Linked DNA regions of Drosophila melanogaster. The protein of the gene in region 1 interacts with the protein of each later gene in a pairwise test. Each region holds a gene or a part of one and is shown in the gene's direction. Other genes may lie near its edges.

Evidence for each region.
Region 2: the proteins of CG9173 (region 1) and Lst8 interact in a two-hybrid assay, tested with the Drosophila melanogaster proteins (one large-scale study listed by BioGRID).
Region 3: the proteins of CG9173 (region 1) and E(spl)m7-HLH interact in a two-hybrid assay, tested with the Drosophila melanogaster proteins (one large-scale study listed by BioGRID).
Region 4: the proteins of CG9173 (region 1) and CSN3 interact in a two-hybrid assay, tested with the Drosophila melanogaster proteins (one large-scale study listed by BioGRID).

Annotation. Positions count from the first base shown.
Region 1 is NT_037436.4:1,419,922-1,425,912, reverse strand, and holds CG9173 (uncharacterized protein), read left to right. Parts: upstream 1-2,441; 5' UTR 2,442-2,550; coding exon 2,551-3,852; 3' UTR 3,853-4,714; downstream 4,715-5,991.
Region 2 is NC_004354.4:9,603,654-9,607,476, reverse strand, and holds Lst8 (Lst8), read left to right. Parts: upstream 1-1,507; 5' UTR 1,508-1,601; coding exon 1,602-1,715; intron 1,716-1,771; coding exon 1,772-2,599; 3' UTR 2,600-3,323; downstream 3,324-3,823. Other genes in the region: LysRS (Lysyl-tRNA synthetase), read left to right, coding at 1-857, 924-1,004; Gga (Golgi-localized, gamma-adaptin ear containing, ARF binding protein), read right to left, coding at 3,464-3,676, 3,753-3,823. UniProt on the Drosophila melanogaster protein: Subunit of TORC1 and TORC2, which regulate cell growth and survival in response to nutrient and hormonal signals. Essential for TORC2-mediated regulation of cell growth and phosphorylation of Akt1.
Region 3 is NT_033777.3:26,034,898-26,039,914, forward strand, and holds E(spl)m7-HLH (enhancer of split m7, helix-loop-helix), read left to right. Parts: upstream 1-2,140; 5' UTR 2,141-2,265; coding exon 2,266-2,826; 3' UTR 2,827-3,122; downstream 3,123-5,017. UniProt on the Drosophila melanogaster protein: Participates in the control of cell fate choice by uncommitted neuroectodermal cells in the embryo. Transcriptional repressor. Binds DNA on N-box motifs: 5'-CACNAG-3'.
Region 4 is NT_037436.4:20,837,701-20,843,965, reverse strand, and holds CSN3 (COP9 signalosome subunit 3), read left to right. Parts: upstream 1-2,389; 5' UTR 2,390-2,501; coding exon 2,502-2,556; intron 2,557-2,669; coding exon 2,670-2,918; intron 2,919-2,977; coding exon 2,978-3,240; intron 3,241-3,298; coding exon 3,299-3,493; intron 3,494-3,564; coding exon 3,565-3,741; intron 3,742-4,068; coding exon 4,069-4,200; intron 4,201-4,259; coding exon 4,260-4,442; intron 4,443-4,500; coding exon 4,501-4,568; intron 4,569-4,625; coding exon 4,626-4,641; 3' UTR 4,642-4,870; downstream 4,871-6,265. Other genes in the region: CG11456 (uncharacterized protein), read right to left, coding at 411-545, 608-985, 1,038-1,563, 1,617-1,915; CG13255 (uncharacterized protein), read right to left, coding at 5,381-5,584. UniProt on the Drosophila melanogaster protein: Component of the COP9 signalosome complex (CSN), a complex involved in various cellular and developmental processes.

The DNA of each region.
Region 1 (5,991 bases):
GTCAGCCGTCGTGGGTAACGCCTTCCCGGTGGATTTCGCGGCAGATCGATGGTTGTCCGTTTTGCGGACCTGCACATTCGGTAATGCCTGTCTGGGTGGCGCCACCTGGCTACGCTTTGTCTTTTCTGCCTCAGTCTGTGTGGCAGTACTCCTTGGTGGGGGCTTCTTGTTGATACCCTCCTGTAACTCAATCGCTCTCTTATTGAGCGCCGATAGGTCCACTAGCACGCCCCTATCCTCGCTGGTTACGTGACGCCTAGTCTCGAACGAGGATAGAATGGCGGTGATCTTGGCTTTCATCATGTCCAGGATGCCCTGCAGGTCCTCATTCTGGAGCGTCGTGGTCAGTTCTGGCGAGCGATGCGGCGATCCTGATGGGGACTTCGCTCCCGCCCTTTGGGCCGGCACGCTGATGAAATCCATTGTCTTCAGGCTTGTGGCTGTCGTGGAGACTGTAGTGGCCAGAGTCTCCACCTCCACAGCTGCACTGCAGTCGCTAGCTTTCGGCGGCGGGGGGCCTGCTTGCTCACCTCCCCCTCCCTGGATTTGGGTTCCGACTCCTCTTATAGGGGATCTCGATAGCCTACCACTCCTCCTAAACGGGTCGTTGGGGTCGGGGGCACTGCCCCCCCCTGTTCTGTCCATCAGATATAAAAGGGGGACTTTGGCTTGTTGGTCCCCAGCGCTCCGTGGGAAATAGAACTAGCTTCAGTTCTTAGGTTATATTTCAAATTTTTGTTCAACTTAATTAGTTCAAATTTGAATTTGAATTCGAATTTCGCGCCCAACGAGCGCGCGGCCGAATGACGATCGCACCGCTGATCTGGCAACGCCAGTCTAACCAGCTCGTCGACTGCGAAAGGTTGGCAATGCTATCAGCTGTATTGTCTGATGCAGCTGATCTGATTTATTACCAGTTTACTGGATCACTCGTGAATTCCGGAACGACACCGTGACGCTCAGAAACGCGGCGCAAACCCCAGAGTGGATTTGCAGGTTTATGTTGCAGTTTACGGCTGACCGGACTCGTATATGACGAAATTCGCGCAGCGCAGCAAAAAGACGTGCGAAATACGCGGGACAATGGATGTGTGTGTGTGTGTGTGTGTGTCTATGTGGAAGGTAAACACATGTCTACTTTGAGGCACAGCAAAAAAAAAAAAATATATATGCAAGTGTCGATGATTTAAGTACATTTATAAGTAGTACGAGCAAAATACGAAATCTATAGCTAGATTGCTTCTTACAACTAAAATCAAGTTTATATCTCAAGGATGTGATATTGTAAGAGAATAGAATACGATTTTTCCCAGTGTGACTTCATCTTCAGCTTATTCCTACCCATCTTGGAGCTGCTGCCATTCATTAATCCACATAGAAATGCCAATGGCAGAGTGAGATGTTGATGGTGAGCTGGTACAGATGGAGATGGAGATGGTGAGGTGATGGTGACCAAAGCGAATGCAAACGAAGGCGGCTGAGGCGGCACAACAACAAAGCGGCCAAGAGGCCTATTAGCCACAATAAAGAGGCAGCCTCACCCCCTTTCGAAATCCCCAATGCTCATACCCCTGGAAATTCTATTATGCAGATGAATGGATGGATATGGGACTAACCATCCGACTGCCTAACTGACTGGGTGTTTGTGTGTTTGCCCCGCCAGATGCCATTACAATGTAAACCCAACAAAAGTTCATTCGGTGGACTTGATGCGGGCATGGATGCGGAGACGTCTTCATCTCATCCACGTACTTCTTCTCCACATATCCGAGGCAGCAGCACTTCCAGCCACCGCAGCGGAACAATTGATCAAATATCATAATTTATCAAATGACAATGCAACAGGCGGCGGCCTCTGAACGTTTACGTTCCCGTATTTGCTTGCCCCAATCCCCACACCAAAGACACCGATCTCCAATTCCCAAATCCCCCCAATCCATTCGAAAGCTACAACTTAATTTATTTGAACAATTTAGGTCTGACACAACAGCCATCGTTTGGCTCTGTCGTGTTCTTTGCGCTTATTTATTTCGATGGTCAGTCGGCTCGAATCTATTTAGCATAATTGCAGCTACGATCAGAACCGAGACCCGAGTCCCGAGATAAAATAATGCATTCTTGTGTGGGGTCTGTGTGTAATCCTAGATAGGGCCACCAGTGGGTCAGATAACCAAATTAAAACAGGCTAGGGAAAATATTGGGACAAACCGATTATTGTTCTATTATGGTAAACTTAGCCATGGCATTAGTTCCAATCGAAATGGGAAGTGCATTCTTCATCGAAGATTGTGCATTCAAATCAAATTGTGTGTCAAGTTTGCTCACAAATTGGTAGGTTTATGGATGCCAGATAGGTTGACAATACTTTTGTATTGGTTAGTTTATGAGCTTTCTTTTCATGGAATAGCCAAAGAATTCGATACAGTAGTCTGCGACTATATGGTCCATCAGAAATCTGTGTATAGCATCTACAATTTTTGTGTTTTGTCAAAAGTGAAATTTAAAGTGATACGTTTGCTGTCTCCTTACTTCATCAACAACCAAATTGCAATGGACAATTATGAGAGGGCCAGAAAACTGCAGGAGGAGGCGGGAGTTCCTCCTGGGGGAATCAAGCGGTGCTGCTGCAACTGCAGGAGAAAGCTGGATCCCTACCAACTGTTTGACGATAATGTGGAGGATATAGCCAAGAGCCTGGCGCAGATAATGCTGATCTGTGGCATCAGCACAAGCAAATCCAGCGCTGCCAGGTCGATAATTAAGAGGGCTTTCGTTTACCATGAACGACTGCGCACCAATTGTCCACCAAATCCGGCTACTGACAGTCGCTTGAATCGGGAGGACCTGCTCCAGGCTCTGCGACTGAAGTGCGAAATGGAACCGGTGGAGGCGATGCTCACCTATGCCATCATCAAGCGGGCCTTTAAGGCCTTCTATCACGGCAAGCCACCGGTGACGATCAGCAATCCCATAGTGGATGCGATGGCGGTGCACACCCAATATGCTGCTTGGATGCATGCGGCGCACAAGACATCCAGGATCTTCGACAACTACAAGGCGGCCTTCTTTTGGGCCCACAAGCACTACGAGAGGCAGATCAATCTGGTTTATGCAGCGCTGTATCAACGGATGACTACCAGATCGGATCCCCTCCTGGTGCCGGGCTGTCCTTGCAAGGGCTGTTCCAAGCAGGAAGTTCCCGGACATCCCAAGGCCGGCCAAAGGCAAATGATGAAGATCAAGCTGTCGGAGGGTGCAGATCTACCAGAACCCTGCATCATCTGTGGCTTGCAAGTTCCGCAAATGGATAAGGAGGTCAGGATGAAGAAGCCACCGCGTCCGATCATCAACCATGAGGTTAATCTACCCAGATGCCAGCAGTGCAATTCGCCCTTCCTCATCTGCGAATGCAACATCGATCAGTTGACGGGCGAGCAGTTTGGCGAATGCGGCCAAGACTCCTACAAGGTGAAGTGGTATCGTCTGGAGGAACCAGTGGCCATTTCCCAACCTGTTTCCCAACCGCTTGGCGAAGAGGAGCAAGATACCAGCTATGATGAAGCTGTGGAACCCCCAGAGGACTGGGACAATCACCATTGTCCCATCGACTGCAAGCACGACTCCTGCAGCGAGTCCTCGAATGTTTGCCACAGCACTTCTTCATCTGCATCTTCGGGCAGTGATTTTGCCACCTGTTCCGACGGCGTGGACAAAGAGGAGGATGTTGTGGCCAAGCTGGAGGATTATCTCAACAAACTGTGGGCCGAGGAGGTGGCTCAGAAGAGGAATCCATCGTATGTGCCGCGAACGATTCATCCTCCTGGTCCGAAGTGTATGAAGTGCAACGACTAATTTTGTACGTTTAAATTTTGGCTATATAAATTATTGAGTGATGAAAAGAGAGCTATTGTTGACCCTTAATAGCCAGAAACAAGTAGTCTAAGTACAGAACGTGTTTTCTCACCTCTGCTACCAAGTTTGGTTCAACGAGCTGCCACCATGCCACCATGCCACCATCCGGGCCACCCACTCCCACACCTGGGGAATCGATCGCCCACACGGGAGCCGGCGCTTATCACACGCCCACAGATCGCGTCTTGACAATGGCCACTTAAAATGCCATTGCCGGTTGTAATCGCCACTAAATTGCTGGCACCTCGGCTTATTCGCGGCTGGAGGACGGAATGGGACGTGGCATTCGATGGGATGGAGCTACTGTTGTCATCGCCGGCTGCTCCGCCCAGCAGCTCCCAGGAGCTTCCACATAAATCGCTGCCTTTATCTAAGCACTTGCATCTCGCGCTGGAACAGAGGCTCCTCCAAGCTGCACCACCAGGATGGTGCGGATCCGCGGATTCGGGCCTGTTCACGCTCCTCGCCGCTTATCAATCTCAGCTCATCTGCACGCAGAACAGAACAGAACCGAACTAAACCAAACTGCAACTAAATGGGCAAAAAGAACCCAAGTCGAAGAACATCTTCTGCGAAAAATAATTCCGCAACTTGTCACATTTTGTAAGATTCAAAGTCGCAGAGACAGGCACTAAACTGCAGACGCCTCTGCGCCAGGGATTCTGGGATGGGCCTGCAATGAAAGGAGTCCTTGACTGTCGGGATTTAACTATTTTTATAGGGTATTCGTAGATAAAGGGGCATACTCGAATGTTAACAGCTACATAAATATAATAATTATTAATGGCAACATATTGATCTTAATTTTATAGATGGTTTATTATTGGTTTAGATTTAAAACTTTGACTTTTTATCATTATCATTCCTGTAGTCGAATCACCCGTGTTTACCCTACATATTTTTGGCTAGGCCTAGACTTCACCCTCGAATTGCCGCCTGCATCTCCATCTGCCTGTCGCTGTGGCATGTTAAACTGGAGTCACATTTGCATATAGATTTATTTTTATGTCCACTGCCTTCGGATGGCTCGTGAACTATTTATGTGTGACGACGATCCAATCGCTTGGGGGAGCGATCTTTGGATGGATCCGCGATCGGTTCTTGCCCAAGAGTTGTGCCATTAAGCGATGCCCATTAAATGTTTGGAAATATTGGAATATCTCTAGATAATGCCACGTCTTGCCAAATTTCTAATTATGATATGCTCACATTGAGTTTCTCTATTAGCCCAGTTTTGATGCGTCTATGTCTGTCTTCCCATTCCAAAAAATTTTTTTTTTTGCTTCGGCATGTGTGTGGTAAACAAAGCTCTCACACTCAATTGAGTGCCACTTTTCGGCTTCGGATGAAACTTGGAGGCAACTTGGTGGAGGCAGTTCAAGAGACGCACGAAACCATTGAACTTTTCAATAGCCATCAAATTTGCGTCTAATGCGAACTGAGACTCGGAAAGTTTCCCGCCATCGTCTTTCAATTTGTTATATCCCTGCATTCAATGCGCACTGCAGCCACTCGAAGTTCACTTTGATAGTTCGAAAATCATTTGCACTCGGAAAATGCATTTGAAGTTTATATATATGAAAAGATAAAACATAAGTTTATCAGATGCCCAAGGCAAGCATTAGAACTTTACAAAATTTCTTTGTGTGTACATGCGGCATCTATCTGCTGCATTGTTGTGGGCCTGAAGCTTAATGGTCTTTTTATAGCTGCTCTTTTTCAACTTCAATTAATGAAGTGTCGAGTTGTTAACACCAAAACACACGCCCAGCTCCCAGTGGTGCAGCCTACTCCCACCGATACCCAATCCCCATGGACCGACCTCTATTTCCAAACATTTCGCCCAGCCGCGGGATGGGAACAAACTTCGCCGCGGCTGCAGGTGGGGGGGGCAGCCGAAAATGTAAACAAACAAATTAAAACGAGCATCGACACGGCAGCTGCAGACTTGGCCTCAGGTGAGAAAACGGGCACACGGAGCCGGGAGTTGGGAAAGCGATGGTCGAAGGGGGGTGGAAAATGCATTTTCACGGCAGCGCCAAAAGCAAACAATCCAGACGGCAGCCGAAGCGGCCAGAA
Region 2 (3,823 bases), on another chromosome or scaffold:
CCAAGCCCTTCGTGACGCATCACAATGACCTCAAGATGGATCTGTTCATGCGCATTGCTCCGGAGCTGTATCACAAGATGCTGGTGGTGGGTGGACTCGATCGTGTGTACGAGATCGGACGGCAGTTCCGCAACGAGGGCATCGACCTCACCCACAATCCTGAATTCACCACGTGCGAGTTCTACATGGCGTATGCCGACTACGCTGACATTATGGATATCACCGAGCAGTTGGTCTCGGGAATGGTGAAAGCGATCCGTGGCTCCTACAAGGTCATCTATCATCCGGAGGGTCCAGAGGGACCTGAGCAAGAACTTGACTTTACGCCGCCCTTTAAGCGCGTATCCATGATCAAAACGCTGGAAGAGAAGCTGCAGGTGAAGTTCCCCGCGGCCGACACCTTCAATTCGCCAGAGACGAATCAGTTCCTGTCTCAGCTGTGCGCTAAGCACCAGGTCGAGTGCCCAGCTCCGCGCACCACTGCCCGCCTGCTGGACAAGCTCGTCGGCGAATTCATCGAGGAGTTTTGCGTGAATCCAACGTTCATCTGTGAGCATCCGCAGATCATGTCGCCGCTGGCCAAGTACCATCGCAGTATTCCCGGCCTGACGGAGCGCTTCGAACTGTTTGTGGCCAAGAAGGAGATTTGCAACGCGTATACCGAGTTGAACGATCCGGTTGTGCAGCGCGAGCGTTTCGAGCAGCAGGCCAGCGACAAGGCGGCCGGCGATGATGAGGCCCAGCTGGTCGACGAGAACTTCTGCACGTCCCTGGAGTACGGACTGCCGCCCACCGGTGGTTTTGGCATGGGCATCGATCGCCTGGCCATGTTCCTCACGGACTCCAACAACATCAAGGTGGGTCTACACTTGGTCTTTAACTTATTGCAAGCGTTGCTAAATGAGGCTTCTTTTTTTTTGTAGGAGGTTCTGCTGTTCCCCGCCATGAAACCGGAGGATGCCAACCGCACGGCAGCGGAAACTGCTCCCACCGCACAGCAGTAGATGGCCAACGCCGCTCACTCCACTCAGACCCAATCCTTGTACGTTACGCTGGTCCCGGACTAATCCCAGTTGCTAAGTTATTCAACCAATAAACATTTTTCCCAATAACCAAAGCTGCGTCAGTTTCTTTTTTTTATTTTCTGCTAATGTCCGAGTTTTGGGATAATAAATATTATTAAGATAATTCTATAATACTTTATATGGAAAATATCTCGATTATATAAACCAGGTACCGTAAATTATCAAAATTTTTCAGTTAAAATTTTTTTGATTTGACATAATTTTTGTGTTATATCTAATCTAATGATTATTTATGCGGATAAAAGAAAGACTTGATATGTAAATCAGTACGCATTTTTGTAATAAAACCTAAAATTATACTGATATCAATTAATAGTGTTTTTTGAAAACGATTTTGTTGCTGCGCTTTAGGTTTTATTCTAATAAGAATATATTTTCGCGCTTACCAGCACCGCGCCACTTATCGATAAGCGCGATAGGCGCGTATCGAGGACCAATGGACCGATAGGTCTGGTGAAATGAAAACATTGGGGCAAAAAAACGCGGAAATTGTCAATTAATCTGTGCAATCACAGGATGGGGGACCAACAGCAGCTGATCCTGGCCACCGGTGGTTATGACCACACCATTAAGGTGTGGCAGGCGCACACGGGCAACTGCATTAAGACGATGAGATTCGTGGAGACCTCGGTAGGAATAAACCGATTCGTGCATTTTCCGGTTAACGAACATGCTTTAACTTGCAGCAAGTGAATGCGCTAGACAGGACACCGGATAAGACGCGACTGGCGGCGTGCGGATACCAGTGCATCCGGCTGTACGACCTGGAGTCCAACTGCACCGCACCGGTGATCAATTTCGATGGCGTGCAAAAGAATGTGACGCGACTTGGCTTCCAAGAGGACGGCAATTGGATGTTCACCGCCGGCGAGGATCATCACGTGCGGATCTGGGACATGATTGCCGCACCGCCACACTGTTCCCGGATCTTTGATTGTGAGGCGCCGGTAAATGCCGCCTGTTTGCATCCCAACCAGGTGGAGATCGCCATGGGCTCACAAAATGGCAGCGTCTTTCTGTGGGACGTCAAGTCGGAGCGGCACGAACGCATCGTGCCCGAGGTGGACGCATCCATTCAGGATGTTGCCATCTCGCCGGATGGCAGATACTTGGCGGCGGCCAATAACAAGGGCAACTGCTACATCTGGTCGCTGACCAGTCAGGATCAGAAGATGAGCACGCTGCGGCCGAACAGGAAAATTCCGGCCCACTCTCGCTACATACTGCGCTGCAAATTCAGTCCCGATTCCAGGCTACTGCTGACGACATCCGGCGATGGCACTGTGTGCATTTGGAAGACGGATGACTTTAGCAAATGGCGCGAGCTGTGCATCGAGAACTATTGGGTGTGGGATGCCGCCTTTAGCGCCGATTCTAAATGGCTGTTCACAGCCTCATCCGACGGCATTGCACGACTGTGGAAGCTGCAGACAAAGAGTTCGATTAGGGATTATACTGGTCACACCAAGGCCATCACTGCCCTGTCCTTCAAGGACGAGATCGTGGGCAAATAGCAGTAGTTGTAGTAGTAGTAGTAGTAGCTAGCGGCTAGAGTCTAGGCACTTTGTAAGTGGCTCCTGGTGGCGGATTTTCATTTGGCTTTCCCCAAAGATTGGCCTACTAGTTTTAGTCATTCTACCAATTAGCTGGCTTAAGTCCACACAAAATGAATGGCAATTGTAATGGTTTGTTAAGCATCGCGGTTTTAGTTTCTACTCTTAATTAGACTCAATGTTTTAGTTCAGCTTACGTTTCCCAATTAGATGCATATATATAAAATGGTAATTCATAGTCTCAAAAAAATTGATATCCTTAATGTTTGAAAAACTGCCAGCAGTGCTCATTAATTCACTTCCGAACTTAATTACGATCTATCTTAAGCCAGTTAAATCAACAAATATCTCAGATGTACAATCATCCGCAAAACCGCCAACCCAGCGAGACAATCCGCCAGGAACAAATAATTTGGCATTTTTTGAAACAGTGGGGAGAGTAGCAATGAATCCATATATGGGCAACACGACAACTGAACTGAACTGAAGCATCAACTAAAACAACATCCACACAACAATTGAACAGATTAATGAGAATACCTCTGAAAATGAGCGCTTGGCTTTTGTAGCGACTTTTTCATAATTTATAAACCTTTGATACATAATTATATTACGACTAAATCGTTTGTATGCAAAATGCAATTTGAATAAAAATCTTATCAGCGTACATACACATACAATACAGAAATTGAAAAACCAAAAGTATCTTTAAGATAATGGGGAGCACAACATAGATGCGGGAAAATTGACTGTCTTTCGTTCTTTTCATTTTCCTCCTGCGCTTTCAGTGGACGGGAGCGGGTGATACTTATATGTCGGGGTATTTTAGTCCACATAGTCAATGCCTTTGGCCACAATCGATTCCTTGATGGGATCCGGATCGTCGCCCAGCTTGTAGCCCACAATGCATGTTACGTCCACGGCCTTGCCTGTCGGATTTAGCAGGAGCATCACCTGGTTGATGGGCGTGGCCGGGCGGAAGGGCTTGTGCGGCGGCATTTGGCTGTCCGTCGGCGTCAACAGGCGCACCTTGCAGGGCTGCGGAATAGAATGATAGCTTGTTAGTCCGGTCACCTCGATGACCAGTAATCTTCTCCAGCTCTGATTCGCTCACCTTCTTCACGCTGGCCTCGAACTGAAAGTCGCGCACTGGCTGGCGACTCTTGTTCTGAGCCGATATCACAA
Region 3 (5,017 bases), on another chromosome or scaffold:
AAATTTTCTCACAGTCGCCAGAAAAATTGTAACGGCCCGTTGTTCAGCACACTCTCAGCACGCAGTGCACTGCACACACACACTTCCTGCCGCAGCCAGCGTTCCTCAAACCGGCCACGTATATTGTTTATATAGTTAACGAATGCGATACATTTAATCTTTAGTGTGTGTCAATTTGCCGTACAGTCATTTAGTTTGCATGTCCCTCGTCGATCCATCGAACAATCATCCCTTTTTCTGGGACCTGGGTCCCACGATGATGATGTCCCGACGTGAGCAGGAATACCATACGCGTATATGTATGCCACTTAGCGATGGACGATCCCAACCGATGCCATCCGAAACGAAACCCAGGGCCCAAGTGTTCAACAGAAGCTACAATTCAGCATTCATAATTGACAAGAGCAGGAGCGAGGGAGAGGGCGATATGTGTAGGGCCCACGATGGACAAGAAAAAATTAAATAAAATAAAGGGCAGGTGGTAGTTTTTTCAGCACTACCCGTGACTCGCACTAGCAGCTCGGTCAGATTTACAGTGGTTCGAATGGAACGAAAATTGGTTGAAAACAATTTAGGGTCTTGTCACAATCTTTAGATGCTTTTAGCTACAAACTACAAAATGGTTTCTTTTTTTAGAAATTTTTTAAACATCATAACCTGACAAGAACATCTTTTCCAAATATTTCTTTATTTCACCCATCTGGGTACAGTAATCCCATACATAGATATTCTGTAAACTGCAACCTTCACGAACCTTAATGTTTTTCAAGACTCAGGTTCCCACTCACCGTCGCAGCTAACAAAATTATCCGTAGCAAGTAGAAAACACCTTTCACAAAAGTCCCTATACTCGGACTATATATGCCTAGAAAAACCTCTAGGAACAAATGTACCTTTCCAACATAGCAGATAGTTTAGTAAAAATTCTTTACAAGTAGAAACACATCGAGAAATCCATAAACACTTACTCTAAAACCTGCAAGTCGTAAAATTGCACGCATGTTCCGTTTGGTAAAACCCCAAAAATCACATTCGAAAACTCACATTCCCACGACTTTGAATAGAGGTTCTCAAATTAACCGTAGCAAGTTGAGAACAGGCAACAAAAAATCCGTAAGATACTGATTTCCAAACCTGCGAGTCCCAAAATTGCACACATCTTCGCCTTGGAAAACCCCATTTCCGACATCCCAAAACTCGCATTCCCACGATCCCTACAGAAATTGCTAAAACTTTGTCTAGCAAGTAGATAACAGTATGCGTAAATTCCGTAAACCTTAAATTTCACGTAGTTGGAAAAGCCTTGAAGAATTCATTCAAGCAAGGCACCCTCAAAATTCCCGCATGTGTTTCATCGGTTTGGCCCACTGTGCCATGTGCATAAGGGCTCGGAACTCGGAGCTCGGACTCGGGACTCGCACACGGGCTACCTCCGATTATAACTTATAACACCAACGAGCGAGAAAAATCTTGTGGGAAACTTGAGGGCAAAGTGTTTCCCACGATTCGAATGTCAGTGGAAAGGAAAACAGAGAAGCAGCATGTGCAACCACCGTCGCACCACCACCACTGCACTATCGCATCTTCATCCCCTGCCGAGACTCACTTACACCGAACACCAGTGGCCATAGCAATAGTACTGAGAACATATTTAAAGTTCTAGATAATGTTTATATTTTCAAAATCACTACTATTAAGAAGTGTGCTAATTTAATTTTTTAGGTGTAAACGTATAACATTATGTTAATTTCTTTTTGTTTAATAAAACGACATTTAAGTGCTTTAAGGGAAACCCATTTGAAGTAATTGTTAAAAACGTAACGTACTTCTTAGGTATATAACAACAAATTTGTATATTCGCTCGAAGAACTATAGCTGCTTTAAACACATTTCTCATACTATTTTTACCGCAGGTGTGTTCCAAACTTGTTTGTGGAGAAAAACCCACCACCGAAAATGCAGGCGAGAGGATCGTGTCCCAGTGACTGAGTAAAAGTAGTTTGCTCCGCAGGTGGTGGTTCTTCGGAGGCTCCGCAGCTCTCTCTTCTCTCTTTCTCCGAGCAGCGTGCGCTGAGCACGAGACGCTCTCGCGGCGGCACGTGCAGCTATAAAAGCAGCGGTAACCGGAGACGAATGCAACATTTCGAACGCAATCGTCGTGCAGTCAACATCTCAGGATAACCTCCTCCGAAAGATCGAAGAAGTTCTTCAACAAGTCGTTCTTCCATTTACCTAAACGCAACAAATAAACAAAACAAACACACAATGGCCACCAAATACGAGATGTCGAAAACCTATCAGTACCGCAAGGTGATGAAGCCCTTGCTGGAGCGGAAGCGTCGTGCCAGGATCAACAAGTGCCTGGACGAGCTCAAGGATCTGATGGCCGAGTGCGTTGCTCAGACTGGCGATGCCAAATTCGAGAAGGCCGACATCCTGGAAGTCACCGTGCAGCATCTCCGCAAGCTGAAAGAGTCTAAGAAGCATGTTCCGGCCAATCCCGAACAGAGTTTCCGTGCTGGATACATCCGGGCAGCCAACGAAGTGTCCCGCGCCCTGGCCTCCCTTCCCCGAGTGGATGTGGCTTTTGGAACCACACTGATGACCCATCTGGGCATGCGTCTCAACCAACTGGAGCAGCCCATGGAACAACCGCAAGCCGTCAACACTCCACTCAGTATCGTCTGTGGATCCAGCTCTAGCTCCAGCACCTACTCCAGTGCCAGCTCCTGCTCCTCCATCAGTCCCGTTTCCAGTGGATATGCCAGCGACAACGAGTCTCTGCTCCAGATCAGCAGCCCCGGACAGGTGTGGCGTCCCTGGTAAACAAAGATCTACTTGGAAGGACTGAATTCCCGACGGGCAATCACGCAATTGGAACCGCAGCTTTAGAAAAAATGCTTTACAATGATCCTCATTTATTTGTTACGTTACCAAGTTTTAGGTTTCTAAGTTAAGTCTGTGATAGGGCACGCTTTATTAACTTTTGTCTTAAATCAATCGAGCAGAAGTCTGTTTTTTACTCTACATATATACAAATGTTTACCAGCTAAGAGATCTCAAGAACACAATATGAAAAGATACAAAATGAAAAACTTAAATACAAATCAAAATATGAAATGAAATTATACAAGAATCTTATTATTTGGGGAATCTATTTTACAGCACAATCCAATAGGGGATATTGAACTTCAGTATTTGTCTTTAAATTCCAATAGGAAGAAGATTCCATTGAAAATATTTAATGTTGGTATGCGCGAACTTTAAGGTCCAATATAATAAAACGATCGTGTGCACTAGCTTATTTAGGACACGTGTAAAAAAATGGACTTCCCATAAATTATGTTCATTATCTTAAAGCCCATCATTATCCTAAACGAGCTATATTAATAACAAGTTTCAATAACAGTTAAACATAATAGCAAAACATGCTCCACTAATGTGCACTTAGTTGTCAAGCATGCATTTAATAATAAAAAGGAATTTAATTTCATATTTTTAATGGTCGTTATTTTTCATTTGCACGATGTGTTTACTTATATTCTATTTCAGTAACTATTTTGTCAACAGACTATGAAATGAAAGTATTTGACATCCTTTAGCACAATACAATACATTGTTATAAACCTTAAATGCGGCATTATAATTTTTCCACCAATAAAAGGTCAATAAGAATGGTCAAGAAACATACAAATGAGTTTCAGCACGCGTCTCGATTACTTATCACACATTATACCCTATTATATTTAATCCCTTAAAATTTATTCTTTTACAATTAATCAATTAAATTACATCACATATTGAGGGTTGCAATAGCATTACGTAAAATCATAGGTAAGTGTATTCAATTCCAAATTCATACCACATTATTAACCTCTGACACCCAAAATACTATAAGAAGTGAGAGTATCCCTCCCCATTACAATAATCAATGACGTTGTTTTCCACCCATAAAATGTCAATATTAAGAACCCTCAAGATTTGTAAGGGAGATATACAAATCCATCTCAATTATTAAGTGAGGAAGTAGCATACCCTAGGCGGTTGCAAGGGAGGGACACAAATCCCATAGGTAGGCATCGATGTCAGAGGTCGATTAGTTTCCTAATAGAAACAGAGTTTATAAAAGTTAACTCGAAAGTGAAATTTACTCAATGGAATTCTAATACACCATACTTGCATGCGAAACCCAAGATTCCGAAACCAAAAGCACTTAATATTAGCTAATTAAAAATGGGTTTAGAAAGATACGCCAGACATTATAAGTTCCTATTAACTAAATTCAAAGAAAACTTTTGTATCCTATGATTACTTTAACAATCTTATTAGGATGAGCCACACATTGAACAAACCACATTTACCATAAGACAAGATATTTGAAAAGTGCACATCAATTAACCGGTGAAAAATTACTAATTACCAATTAGGGGGTTGCAGGAAGTTAACTATGTGCATCCCATAGGTAGACATTCCGGCACAAGGCCCACCTCACCTCAGCCTGGGCATTGAGTACTCAACCTCGGCCACGAGTGTGGCACGCGGGGCACACTTTCTGCGCCCGTTTGACCCACGTCCCCCTGCCAACCACCCAAAAACCCGAGATCAGACAGCCCAAACGATGGAACGATCGAACAACCAAGGCGACCCGGCACGAAGCCAATATGCCACATCCACTAATTGTGTCCAATAAACACTCGTCGACGGGGCACTGTGGGAACGGAAAGAGGAGATCTCAGAGTTCGCAGTTCGGAGGTCGGAGCAGGAGTAGGGGCTTATACAATCATCGTCTGCTGGCATTGATGAAACAATAAGCGAGTAGATGGCACGGCAGGATAACAATGCCAGAGCGGCCCACGCACAAGCAGTTCGGATCCCCTGCCCCTGCTCATCATGCTTCGATCCCATGTACCCATATATGAACGTTCCCATTCCAAACACGACAGGATGAGGCAGTGAAGTATGCATTAAGGATAATAACACCGGCCCAGAAAGCAATGCGAGCAGCCAAAAACAGCGA
Region 4 (6,265 bases), about 19 Mb from region 1:
CGCTGATCTTGAAACCGAACTGAAACCGGATGATTATCGCTGGCAGAGTAGATTTTTAAATTTTAAATTAGTTTAAAGTAAAGCGTAACTGATAATTAAACGGAACACGGTAAACCAGCATGACTAAATAATTCGAATGTTGAACAAAAAAATCATATCAGATTCTAAAATGATATTAAATTTAAATGGAAAACTGAACAACTTAATAAACAAGCATTTAAATCCCCAAAACAAACTGCATGAGAACATTATTTTATACAAAACTCTTTACAGCGCATTGGACACGCCATATTCAACAAATTGAATTGTACATAAATACATAGGACATAAAAACAAAGTAATCAATAAAAAATGGGAAGTGAATCAACTCAACGCTTACCCCTAATCTATCAACTTAAAATGTTATAATTTTAGTCCTTTAAGTACGTGGGAAATTGAGTATCTTCAGATGGAGGAGCTGGTATGGTTACACCACCCGTATCCAGAGCTGGTTCATGGGGCAATGAATCCACGCTCTCCAACGGCATAAAACAGTCAGCTGAAATCTGCAAAATAAACTGTAGCTTATACAAATGATAAAAGATGATGAGAAGATCAGGGGACATACCTCCCCGTTCTTGTCGCCCACTTTTCGAGGATACTTGAAGCCAGCGGCACGTGCATCCATAGAATCCTCACAATTTGTGATCAAGCCCTGTCGATGATCCTGTTTGTGGGCTCGTAGTCGTTCTACATTAATTGAGGTGAAGCTGCAGATATCACAGCACAAGTCCCTATAGGCTTCGGCATGATTGAGCCGCATGTGGCGCTTAAGAGCATTGGCTTGGATGCAGAAGTAGTCGCACTGACTACATTTCAGGCTGCTCCTTGTGTCCTGGCTATCATGACGCTGCCGATGCTTGTGCAGGACACTGGGATCGCGAGTGGAGAACTTGCATTCGCCACATTGCAGCGGCTTCTCGCCCGTGTGCTGACGCATGTGAATCTGGAAAGAGTATTAGGTAGCAAGAAGATCGTAAAGTGCTATCTGAACTCACTATTAAGCTAGCCTTGCGAGCCGTCTTTTTGCCACACACATTGCAGATAAATGGCTTGATTTTGTTGTGAACAGTCTTCACGTGTTTAGAGAGCGTTTTACCGTTGACAAACTTGCGATTGCAAATCTCGCAAGTCTTCTCGGCATAGTATTTGTTTTTCTTTGACGATGGTGGCAGAGCAGCAGGTTGCGCGGCCATCTCTGCGGACTGTTCCTTGAGCTTTCTTCTCCGCTGAACGGCAGCCAGTGACCGGAGCACCCTGGGTCGCCACTTTTTGTGAACCTGCATGTGGCGCCACACGAGAGCGGATATGGGCGACTTGTAGTTGCATTCGAAAACGGGACACACTAGTAGGTCCACATCCACCTGGTGGGCTTTCCACAGGTGAGCCGAGCACCGCCGCCAGTTGGGCAGTTCCATGCCACATTCGCAGCAGGAAAAACTGCCACCCTTATGGCAACTACAGTGGAGCTCCATTTTGGTAGCATCTTGGAACTTGAAGGGGCATTCCTTTCCAAAGGAGCACCTTTAACAAACGAGTTTGTCAGAAGCTTATGGTAATAATATGGACATACATACGGCTCTAACATGTTGGCCCTTAGCACCAGCCGAAAGTCCTTGAAAGGCATGGGCTGCAGTTCACTTGCCGGGGGTTCCGAGTTCTCCGATCGCTCCACAACGGTTTGCTTATCCTGGCTGTTGCTGCCGGCTGCAGTTTGTTCCTTAGTTGAAGTCTTCGCAGTTTTGTTTTTGACACTGGGCGTTGAGATGGGCTCATAGCCGTGAAAGTAGACGAGATGTCCTCGAAGATCCTCCTGGAGATCATATTGACGAAGGCAGAGACTGCACACATATACGATTCGCGCAGAATTTTCCATTTTATATTAGTTACATTTCGTATTGGGATATTAACAGCAATTCAATAACAGCAACAAAGTGTTATCGAAAATAGTGAGCACTATCGCGGCTGCACTATCGAAATTTGAAATAGTTGTTTTAGAATAATTTTCTTAAAATTTCATAAACTAAATTATAAACATGGCATAACGCTGATTCTAATCGAAATTTGAACTAGTTGTTTTAGAATAATTTTCTTAAAATTTCATAAATTAAATTATAAACATGGCATAACGCTGATTCTAATGGTAAGTGCGCGAATTAAATTTATATAGTATAGAGTACAAAGAAGAGCATCAAGTGTCTTAATCCTTTAATTTTTGTGTGCCTGTTCTAAATTTTTCCAGCTGAGTGATAGTGTTATAAGTTATAGATGGCGCGTTATTACAGAGCCAGTGTAGAACAACGCTGTCTTTAGGCCACTAATCGATAAGAAATCGACAGCACCGAATATTCATCGTTTTATTCCCAGCTCTAATCCGTCGGCAGTCATTTGTTATTTCGCGAAATTATTTTTCGCAGTTTTGCAAGTTAATAGGCCAAAAAGTAGTCTCGGAGTTACCTAAAATGGGCAGCGCGCTGGAAAACTATGTGAATCAAGTGCGCACACTGAGTGCGTCCGGTAAGTTGGCCGACCGGCGAAGAACGATCCTCAAGAAACCGGGCTCGTTGCCGCCTTTGTTTTGATATTAAAGCGATTCGCAACTAACTTTGCTGGCTGGCTTTTCATCACAGGAAGCTATCGGGAGCTGGCCGAGGAGCTGCCGGAGTCGCTGTCGCTGCTAGCCCGCAACTGGAGCATTCTGGACAACGTGCTGGAGACGCTAGACATGCAGCAGCACTCGCTGGGCGTGCTCTATGTGCTCCTGGCCAAACTGCACAGTGCGTCCACCGCGAATCCGGAGCCGGTACAACTTATCCAGCTGATGCGGGACTTTGTGCAGCGCAACAATAACGAGCAGCTGCGCTATGCGGTGTGCGCCTGTGAGACATGAATCTTCTGTTCCAAAAGTACCCTAAAAGTAATCACATATCCCATTCAGTTTACGAAACATGCCATCTGTTTACCGAGTTTGTGGTGCAAAAGAACCTCAGCATCCTGGGCATACGCATCATTTCGCGCGCCATCGACCAGATTCGACAGTTGGAAACCCAGTTAACTCCCATACACGCCGATCTCTGCCTGCTCAGCCTGAAGGCGAAAAACTTCAGTGTGGTGCTGCCGTATCTGGACGCGGACATCACGGACATCTCCACCGTGGCAGCCGAGTGCAAGACGCAACAGCAGCAGCAGTCCCAGCACGCGGTATTCACGGTTGAAAATGAACTTCTGGGCTACTAGAACTCATAGATTAATTTTTTAGGATGCCAACAACGATGCCAAGTACTTCTTGCTGTACTTCTACTACGGCGGCATGATCTACACGGCGGTGAAGAACTACGAGCGTGCGTTGTACTTCTTCGAAGTCTGCATCACCACTCCGGCAATGGCCATGTCGCACATCATGCTGGAGGCCTACAAAAAATTTCTCATGGTTTCACTCATCGTCGAAGGCAAGGTAAGCTGGACAACAATTTAGTTCCGTTTATATATCAGTCTCTCAATCGGAAAATCTTGTGTCGGTTGCAGATAGCGTATATACCAAAAAACACACAGGTCATTGGTCGTTTTATGAAGCCGATGGCCAATCACTACCACGACCTGGTCAATGTGTACGCGAATTCGTCTAGCGAAGAGCTGCGCATTATCATACTCAAGTACAGTGAAGCATTTACGCGTGATAACAATATGGGACTGGCCAAGCAGGCAAGTATTTAAGGGTCATTCCTGGTTCTTTTCTAATCTGTGGCTTCCGTATGTAAAAAGTAAGACGGTATTCGAAAAAAAAATTAAAAACACCCAATTCTTTTCAAGGTTGAACAGTGCTACAAATTGAACTTTTAATTACTCACCGTTTCAAATAAAAAAAAAATAATTAAATTTATGCGGAAGTATAAACATAATATAAACATAAAATTATTTCCGGTGGAAATTAAATTTAGATTTTTCTGTATTCTAAACAACACAGTTTTTTAATAAGATAACTGGCAGAACCATCTAACTATGAAACTTTAATATTGGGTATCCCCTTAGGTGGCTACCTCCTTGTACAAGCGAAACATCCAGCGGCTCACTAAAACCTTCTTGACCCTTTCCCTGAGCGATGTGGCCAGTCGTGTCCAACTTGCCAGCGCAGTCGAAGCAGAGCGTTACATTCTCAACATGGTAAGAAGTTGTCTTCTTTTTTCGTTTTTTATTTATACCGAGATAATACCTAATTGCAGATAAAATCGGGTGAAATATATGCCAGCATCAATCAAAAGGACGGTATGGTGTTGTTCAAAGACGACCCAGAGAAATACAACTCACCGGAGATGTTCCTCAACGTGCAAAATAATATAACACACGTTCTGGATCAAGTTAGGCAGATCAACAAAATGGAGGAGGAGATCATTTTAAATCCAATGGTAGGTTCTATTGTGAGGTTATTGGTTATATGTTATTTGTTTAAATTCCATTTGGCAGTATGTGAAAAAGGCTCTTGGCAGCCAGGATGATGACCTAACGTCGCAGCACCCAAAGACTTTCTCGGGGTGAGATTTGGAATAAAAACGAACCGAGAATTGTTAGTAATGTTTCCTTTGTTACAGTGATCCCACAGATTGATGATACCACTGCCACAGAACCACCAGCAGCCTGCTGCTATCATTTCTACGCTCATCCAATCCCCAACACCGTTTACCAGAACTTGTCGAAGCCGCGAGGCCCTGGGCCCGAAAGCTGACGTCTCTTGCAGTCCGTACTCATTCAGCTACCACAACAACAAACTGCGCTCTTATTGCAAATTTAAAGATGAACATGCTATTTTAAATAAACTATGTATAAATCTATGACTAAGTCAGGGATCCTTATCACGCATTTGATTGACTCACAAATTATACGTCTCGATACTGCAACGATAAGGCTGTTGTGCCTTTTCTACGCATCGTTCGATCAGGCGACGTTTTACTGTCTGGACGGATCGGTTAAGTGCTTTGTACTTGCCCCCAATCTACCTTAATTGCAGTTCAGTTATCGTTCACGTTATTTTATTTACAATATCAATGTACATGTAACCTAACCTTAGGGCAAAAACAAACAATTAAGTGACTAGAGGACCAGCGCGTTTAATGTAGTTAATTTCTACTCGTAAGCCTAGTTTCGTGTATTTATTTACGTCTAGTCTAGTTGCATAGCTTAACATATCAACAGGCGTCTAGGTTGTGTGGTTCGTGCGTGTGGGTGGTCAGCAGCTGTCGTTCGTCGTACATCGCTCCAATCGCCCGAATTAAAACCGGAGCTCTGACATCGGAGACTGAGACTTGAGATTCTCGCGCCTCTCATAGCCAGCTGCGCTGCACCCATCCTAACCGGTCTTCATGGCGTCTAGCTCCATGATGGAGGTCTTCAGCTGCTGTGCCGGAGAAACCAGCCCCGTTGATACCTCGCCGTTGAGACTGCGATACAGCTTGTGGACCACATTGACCAGTATGAAGCACACAATGAGCACCAGCAGCGACATAAAGACGTAGGCCAAGACCAGCGGTGCGTCCGAAATGGGGTCCAGCATGGCGATATGTTTGAATACAGAAATATATATATACCGAGAATATGTCTTGAAAATTTGTTGTGACTTTGTACACTCGCTTTCCGTAAGGAAATGTTAAAGAGTGTAGTCCAGACAGCTCAGGTTCAGGTAAATAGACGGGTCGCAACGCGTATGTAAATTAGCCACTTGAGCATACACATATATAGCATGTATATGATATTCTGGAATTGTGACCGCGTCGGCGTTTCGTGTGTACGTCGCTTGACACCTGCCCGAGAACTGAAACGAGCCGAGAGCGTTAAATGGATGGAACTTTGCTTGGCATTACGTATACGCTTCGTTGCCAGACTGTTGCCGCTGTAGATCTTGCTGTATGTTGTGCGTCCAGTTTTAAGTTTTTGGCTTGGTTCTGATAAGCCCCTTGTGCAATAGAGTCTGTAACTTGGGCCAAGATTAGAAAATCGCCTCCACTTCTTGGAGTTCCCAGCGACTGAGAGCCGCCGCTCTTTACATCTGGCAACTTTTCGGACTCCAGCTTTATTTAGAACTCATGGAGGAATTCCAGTCGCATTCATATTCGCCTCGCAATCAAATCAACAACGCTGCCTTCTTAATTGGCCGCGTCAATAAAGAATGAAATGGCGTCAAACAAATGCTTGGGGTCCCTCGTCTCGTGGAGGTGGCGAGATCTGGTTGGGGGTA